Nothobranchius furzeri: one gene and its partner. The protein of the gene in region 1 interacts with the protein of each later gene in a biochemical or structural test. Links are inferred from orthologs where the notes say so. Each region holds a gene or a part of one and is shown in the gene's direction. Other genes may lie near its edges.

Region 1 (3,657 bases):
TGCACCTTTCTTGTTGTGTTCACTGATGAGTGTTTTTCTGTCTGTCTGTCCGGTTTAGACGGCCCACTCCCTGACCCGTCAATGGTGCGTCCTCCTGGACCCAATCCGATGGTTCCCAGGATGCCAGGCCCAGGTACAGAATCTGTTCTGAACTTAAGACTATTGTTCTAGAAATGCTCCAAAAACTCAGCTGCTGATCAGAACCTGCCCATAAACAGCATGATCAGCTTAATCAGGCCGATTACAAATTCTGTAGTTGTTTTGATGAATGAATAAATAAATAATGAAGGAATAAACACAGCATTTGCCAAGCTGGAATGATTGTCTTCAAGTCTGTGAACTCACCATCGCTACAACAAAACTAATTTACTCTAACAATAGCAGATTTTAAATCTGAAACAATTTTCATTCTAGTTTATTTCAACCTCAAAGCAAGTATCTTGCTAATTATTACTGATCAGAATCTGTTTACTGGTCGGACACGGGGGTGGACTGGCATTCTGGCACTGTCACGGTGGGGCCCCCCACCCACTCCTACATTTGGTGGAACCCCCCCCCCCCCCCCCCCCCCCCCCGCAAGACCGGCAGCGTAAACAGAGCGTGCACGAGGATAACTGGGCGTTCTCTCTCATGTGCATTTTTTAAAAAAGTGGTGAGGGCGGTTCTTTCCTGAAATTCAGAAATATCCTCTGCCACATACATTAAAGGCCAAAAGTTTGGACACACCTGTCTCATTCAATGTGTTGTCTTTATTTTCATGACCATTTACATTGGGAGATGTGGAGTTATGTACTTAGCCCAAAAAGGTAAAATAACTGAAAACATGTTTTATGTTCTATTTCCTTCAAAACTGCCACCCTTTGCTCTGATTACTGCTTTGCACACTCTTGGCATTCGCTTGATGAGTTGATGGTTGCACACGTTCCCCTGCTGTTTCTCACCAGTATCAGCTGATGGAGGGCTCTAGTTTCGTTGCGCCGTTCGTGTCAGCGGACACGGTAGGGTCGGGGAGGGGGGCGGGGCATGACGCTTAGCCTGGCTGGCCGCCAGGCTTATACAGCGCTGGGGGAAACCCTGCGTACTGTGCAACCCAATATTTTTTATTAACAAATAACAATCAATAATTATTTATTTGCATTTTCTTGAGCCAGTATGTGCTAAAATTACCCTTAATAGGGTTAATGAAATGTCACTCAGACCCCCACCGCCCTCTGTGGCCAGAATTTCACATTTGCAACTTCAGAGTGCCAGTCCGGTCTGCTGGACTTAGAAAAAATTTGAGCTTACATACCTGTCGCTGCAGCCTGGTTCCAGTATGTTTTAGATCAGGAGCACAAGTGATTTGTTTGATTTAGTGATGAACCACTCCTGTAGACACTGAGGAAGGCTGGGGAGATGTTTGTTGTTAGATTAAGGTGTTAAAAAGACGAACGCACAGCGAGGAGATAGGTTTTGCTTTCGATTCCACAAAAGGACACTAGGGGGTGCTAAACGTAAGCCAAAACAACCTAGTCTCGCCTGAAATGTTTTCATTAAATGTTCCTGTTACATCTGGAAAAGACAGCGATCCCTCCCTGCACACCATAGTGCTGCTTTTATTGATAGTATCAATGATTATTGCCATCTCATCTGACCACTTTTTAAAATGCTTTCATTTATTTAATTATTGATATTCACTGATTGCTCTGCGGCTCCACAGCTCACCGCTGTAGCAGCGCAGAGCCACTCGAAGGGAATAAAACAATTTTTTTTGTGCCTACATCACGCCCCAGAGCCTGGATTTCCATCTTGGTTGTCATGGTTACCTGTGACATCCTGTCAATAAGCATGTTTATTTATATGCACAAAATTCATCATGCAGCTTACATTGTCCATTTATTATTAGAGAGTGGGTGTGTAGAGGCAGGATGTAGTCGACAAACACCTGAGCACATTTGTTGGACAGCTGTGATTTTTAAAGCAGAAACAGAGTGGAGCCGTGCTTAAAGTAGTGCTAGTCTAAAGTAGAGTAAGTATTCTTTGCAAAGTTTTATAAATGATGTCCCAAACCTGGTGTATCCCAATACTTTACCTCAACTGTTAAAATCAGAAAAGTTGGCGTCAAAATGAGGCAGTTTGTTCTTCTATGTTAAATATTGCTTAGACAATAATAATGTCTCAGGTACAGCATAATCCTCTGTAGATTCTTCAGAAATTAATCTATTTTGTGTGGGTCCAACCAAACTGTATGATTAAATTCACCTACACATGAGCAGCACGTGACAAAGATGATTTATTTCAGTAATTCCATTCAAGAAGTAAAAGTTGTTAGATTAATTTATTACACACAGACGGATATTTTTCAAATGTTTATTTATTTTCAAAATCCATTCAATAATCCGGGGGAAATTCACAAAGAGGTGACTGCAGCTGCAGTAGGGTTGCAAGGACTAACCGGTTTGACTCGCGTTAGTGACTGAACTGATTTAACAGTAATATTAGAACAATCCAGTGAACAACGGTTCATATTGTGTTGTTCTACGTTTCCCCCAAATCTGAATACAACAAGCCTGTACTGCAAGCCATTTTAATATTTAATCAACTACACCACTCTGTGATTCCTGTTCTACTTAGCAACTGTATAATTCATCATTGTCCAAATAATATTCTTACTGATGAAAATTCAAAGGATACGAATAAATAGAAATTATATTTAAGTAATAAGTAATATTCATAATGACAGCTACACTAGTAGGAATTTAGCATTTTAATTCATGAAGGTGTCTCCATCCTTCAGTGCTTACCCTGACCAGCTGTCGACAGTTGAACCTTTTTGTCTTTTTACAGAAACTCAAAAAAGCCTATTAGGCAAGTATAATTAAAGGTGTGGTTCACTGAAAAAACATTTTTAGTGATTATTTCTGATAATCAATCACTCGGGTTTTCATGCAGGCTGAACATGAAAATAGTCTCCTACACCTATCTCCTGCACCAGCACCTGAATTAACAGATCACACTGTAAGTGGCTTTGGACAAAAGCGTCCGCTAAATACATAAATGACAGGAAAGAAGACGATCACACCGTCAGGTGAAGAAATGCTGAGAACGATGCTAAACACTGTGAGGTTCAGGATGGACATTAAACACGCCTGAAATCTTAATCGTGATCAGAGGTGTTGCTACTGGGCAGGAAGAACACACACTCGGTGTTTAGTTTATTATCAGTCTGTGCATTTGAAGTGATAACATGTAAGAGGTCTAAAGTAAATAAGTGTTGGTTTTTATTAGTAATTTCTTTCTTGAATGTGCAGTCCAGACAACTTGTTATTAATGTGGGTGTAATTTAAAGAGAACTGTGATCTCAGTCATCAATGATGAAACACCGATTCCCAATTTAGCAAGAATGGTGCGCTCCTCAATCCTCATGATGCTCTGGCTATCTTCTTAGGTATGAACCAGTTCAATCAGATGGGGATGCAATCTATGGCTCAGAGGTCCACACCGCCTCTGCCCATGGGAGCACCTGGCAACCAGGTCAGTACTTGGCACACTGGAATGTTTTTAAATTTTATAAAAGTATTTTAGGGTTATTAGTAGTTTAAACACCGGCTTGGAGTTAAAAAGCTCCAGTAAATATTGTTTATTTGTGTCTAGATGGGAATGGTTGGACCCAGAGTG
Region 2 (3,657 bases), on another chromosome or scaffold:
TGCAACCATCCCCATTAGCTCCTCCTTCTAGGCCACTGCAGCCTCCACTGAACCACCTCATGCCTCCGGGTCCCCTGGTTACCAAAGACGTATCCCGGGCGCAGCAGCTGAAACAGATGGCAGCCCAGAACCAGAGAGCCCAGCAGCACAAACAGCCCCAGATGGGGACCAAGTTCCACAACCCCCCTCCCTGGCCCCAGATGTCCAACAGCTCCCAGAGCCCCTCCCTGTATCCTCCTGACTTCACTTCTAACTCCTCAAAGCAGTTGCTGATGCCCTCTCAGCCCAACAAAGGCTCGCCGAAGTCTGGCGCAGGCAGCTGCATGCAGGGGTCTACCGGGCACCCCAACATGCTTGGTTCCCTGACCTCAGGACACCCACTTAGCCACCCCTCAGGACAAGGTACTCAGGTGTCCCTGAACTTCCACAACACTAGACCTCTGTCGCACTACGAGGCAGGACCGGGTCCACCGAGAGCCCCCAACGCTCAGAACCAAGACAAGACCCTCGGTCTGGTGCGCCCACAGCAACCACAATCCAAACCCAACGGTATAAACTTCCTTCAGCACATACCACACTCACAGGTATGTACACACACACACACACACACGCGCACACACACACACACACACACACGCACACACACACACACACACACACACACACACACACACACACACACACACACACAGAGGTTAGGCTTTGTTCTACAGTCTCACGCTATAATCTGTCCTAGGCCATATTTAGGCAGACTGATCAACTGTTTAGAGATAATCAGGAGTTCAGCTATTTGAGAGAACTGTACTTGGATATTGAATATTTATCCCTTGTACTAAAAATCCCCCAATAAGTTTTAAAGATGACTTTTTCTCCTTCTACGAGTGTTGCTGTGTAGTCAGGAGACTTCTGATATCTTTATTCTGATTGAATAAGCACAGCTGCCAGTCAGTCAGTTTACAGGTGAGAGAAGTATTTGTCTAAAGGTGATTACATTTTTCTTTCTATCTTTTTTTTTTGTTTTGTTACAGGACCAGAACACCTACCCTGCCCCTCCACACGGCACAGGCCCTGTCAACACCATGACGCCTGGGCCCAATAACATGGTGGCGCCGCAGGGAGTGAACGCCTTGTCCATTAAACGTAATAACGCTGTGTACTCAAACAAACAGGCAGCAATGGCAGCAGCACTGAAGCAGCAGCAGCATCAAATGTTGGAGCAGCAGTATGTGCAGAGGCAGCTCATGGCTGAACAGGTGAGACTCACCTGTGATTCCACTTTGTGCTTACTGTGAGGTTTCTGAGCTGACTTTTAACCTCAGACACCAGGGGGAGCTGGCCCTCATTGGAGATCTGACCAGAGTGTCTGCTGAGGCAGCTGGAGCCATCAGAAGCTTGTTCACTTTTCCCATCATGCCACGTTTTTTTTCCCCTTATCCACCCAAGCAGCAATCCTTCTTTTATGGTTGCTTGTGGTTCTTTTTTAACTCAAGTTTCTCTGTTCTAAGATGTTTTTTGTAGTTTATTGGTGTGCTGTAAATCATTCATGATCCTGACTCATGAACCCTTTACAGGAGAAGCAGCGTCAACAGGAGCAGCAGCAACAGCAGCTGCAGCGACACCTGACCCGACCTCCCCCACAGTACCAGGACCAGCCAGGACCACCAGCCAATCAGAATCCTTTTCCACAGCAGCCAGTCAGTCAGTTTACAGGTGAGAAAAAGTTTTCATGCTTGCGTGTTTAGTGAGAACATGCCAGAGTATCTCTTATAATTGGATATGGAGCTGCAGGAATAAATGTTCTATCCTGCTTGGAGATTTTCCGCATCAGCCTAACATACCAGAGGACGGTGTAGACTAAAGCCTGATTTATGCTTCTCCGTCTGCGTCAGTGCGGAGACACGCAACGCCATTATCCGTACTTGCGTAGGGCACGCAAGTACGTACGGAGTCGAGCCCACTTTTTTAAACATCCGTCGAACGAGACGGATTACGCAAGCTTGTGATTGGTCAGGATGCCGCTGTTGTTTACAGCGCCGCCATTGCAAAGAGAGCCGAGGAAAACTAGCGGCAGACACGGAGAAGCTTGAAGAATACCTCGCGAAAAAACTCTAAAAATATGAACGTTTAATTCTCCCGTGACTGGAGGAGTGAAAAGATGCGCAGCAAGCATTTTATTTGTGGACGGAAATGACAGGAAACGTGGGTTTAGAGGTGGGGAGCGCATGAAGGGGTGGGAGAATGAGAGACAAATATGTCCCTGTTAAAAGTCACTTATATACACAAAAAACACAATATAAACACACGATCTTGGACCGATGCATGACAGGAAACCACAGAACAGCGCTACGCCCTCTGTTGTCCTGCAGGGCAATTGCTTTGCAACACTCTCCAGGAGACGGAGAAGTACAAGAGCAAAACGCTTCCGTCAGTCCGTGCGTGTCTGTCCCTTGCGGAGCTGACGGAGAAGCATAAACCAGGCTTAAGGCTGGGTGGTAAAGCGAAAATTTACCGTTACGCAAATGTATAACTCTTACCAACGTCATTTATTTATAAATGTGAGTCAGTTGCTGATGTCCATGTCCCTTTTAAGAAGCTGCGACACAGACCAGTGGGGTACACGTCACAGCCAGTCACATAGTCATGTGACTCCAACCCATCGAGTCTGTAACAAGAAAAGCAAAATGAGGAAATGGAGAACGAATTAAATATGGAAGCAGTGGGCTGCTTGCAGCTCATAGTTCTGATTCTCTCAATACTTGTGGACCACGGCTGCTCGTAGCTGCCCAAATCTTGTAACAGTTCTCTTCTCAATGACGCTCGCCGCTTGGTCCGCAACACTCTGCAGCCAGCCGCAGTTATTGATGGTCAGCCGAGAGCGTTGATCAGCGGGCTACAACTGACATAGGTTTAGTCGTGGAGAAGCTTGTTTCCAAAAACGTGCATCAATCATTTGGTAACAATATGGATTCAGCAAGGTTGATGTGATGAAAACAAGACAATGTAAACTGGGCAGAAAGACTATCACCAAGTCAAGATAACACGTATATCTTCAGTACGTCTGGGTTTTATTTAGAACCTGACTACTGGACAACTCAAATGTGACTTCACCTGATCCATTTCAGTTCTTTTCAAAACCATCTAGTTTGGTGATACATTGTTAAATCTCCATCCATCTGTTTTCCTCCACTTATCCAGGGCCAGGTTGTGGGATCCTTAGTCTATAATTCAATTCAAGTTTATTTGTATAGTGCCAAATCACGAGTCATTTCAAGGCATTTCACAAAATCTTTAAATCATGAGTCATAGGTTAAATATGCTAGTTATTAAAATTATATATATATTTATATATACACTATATATATTCATTATCGAAATCTTGTTGATAATGAATAAAATTACAATATTGGTGGATTCATAACATATAACCATAAAAATTGGAAACAAAATACATGGGAGCAGGTCTACATCTCTGGGCGATGCCATATTAGGGCTGCCTCACACGAGAGCAAACTGCTGAGCTGACAGTCATTCGAGGCCGCTTGCTCAGCAGATGGCTCGCTGTGTGTGCCTGATTTTCAGTCTTTTCTGCCTGAGGTGAAATTCAAACCGGTTTGAAATTTTTCACCTCACGGGACAGAAACTGGGAATGGAGAAAAT

The links.
Region 2: the proteins of ep300a (region 1) and maml1 form a complex in vitro, tested with the Homo sapiens proteins (2 studies listed by BioGRID). The link is inferred for Nothobranchius furzeri from reciprocal best matches to the Homo sapiens genes EP300 and MAML1.

Annotation. Positions count from the first base shown.
Region 1 is NC_091756.1:27,967,116-27,970,772, reverse strand, and holds part of ep300a (histone acetyltransferase p300), read left to right. Parts: intron 1-58; coding exon 59-133; intron 134-3,427; coding exon 3,428-3,513; intron 3,514-3,633; coding exon 3,634-3,657. UniProt on the Homo sapiens protein: Functions as a histone acetyltransferase and regulates transcription via chromatin remodeling. Acetylates all four core histones in nucleosomes. Histone acetylation gives an epigenetic tag for transcriptional activation.
Region 2 is NC_091741.1:65,499,927-65,503,583, forward strand, and holds part of maml1 (mastermind-like protein 1), read left to right. Parts: coding exon 1-584; intron 585-1,028; coding exon 1,029-1,253; intron 1,254-1,571; coding exon 1,572-1,710; intron 1,711-3,657. UniProt on the Homo sapiens protein: Acts as a transcriptional coactivator for NOTCH proteins. Has been shown to amplify NOTCH-induced transcription of HES1. Enhances phosphorylation and proteolytic turnover of the NOTCH intracellular domain in the nucleus through interaction with CDK8.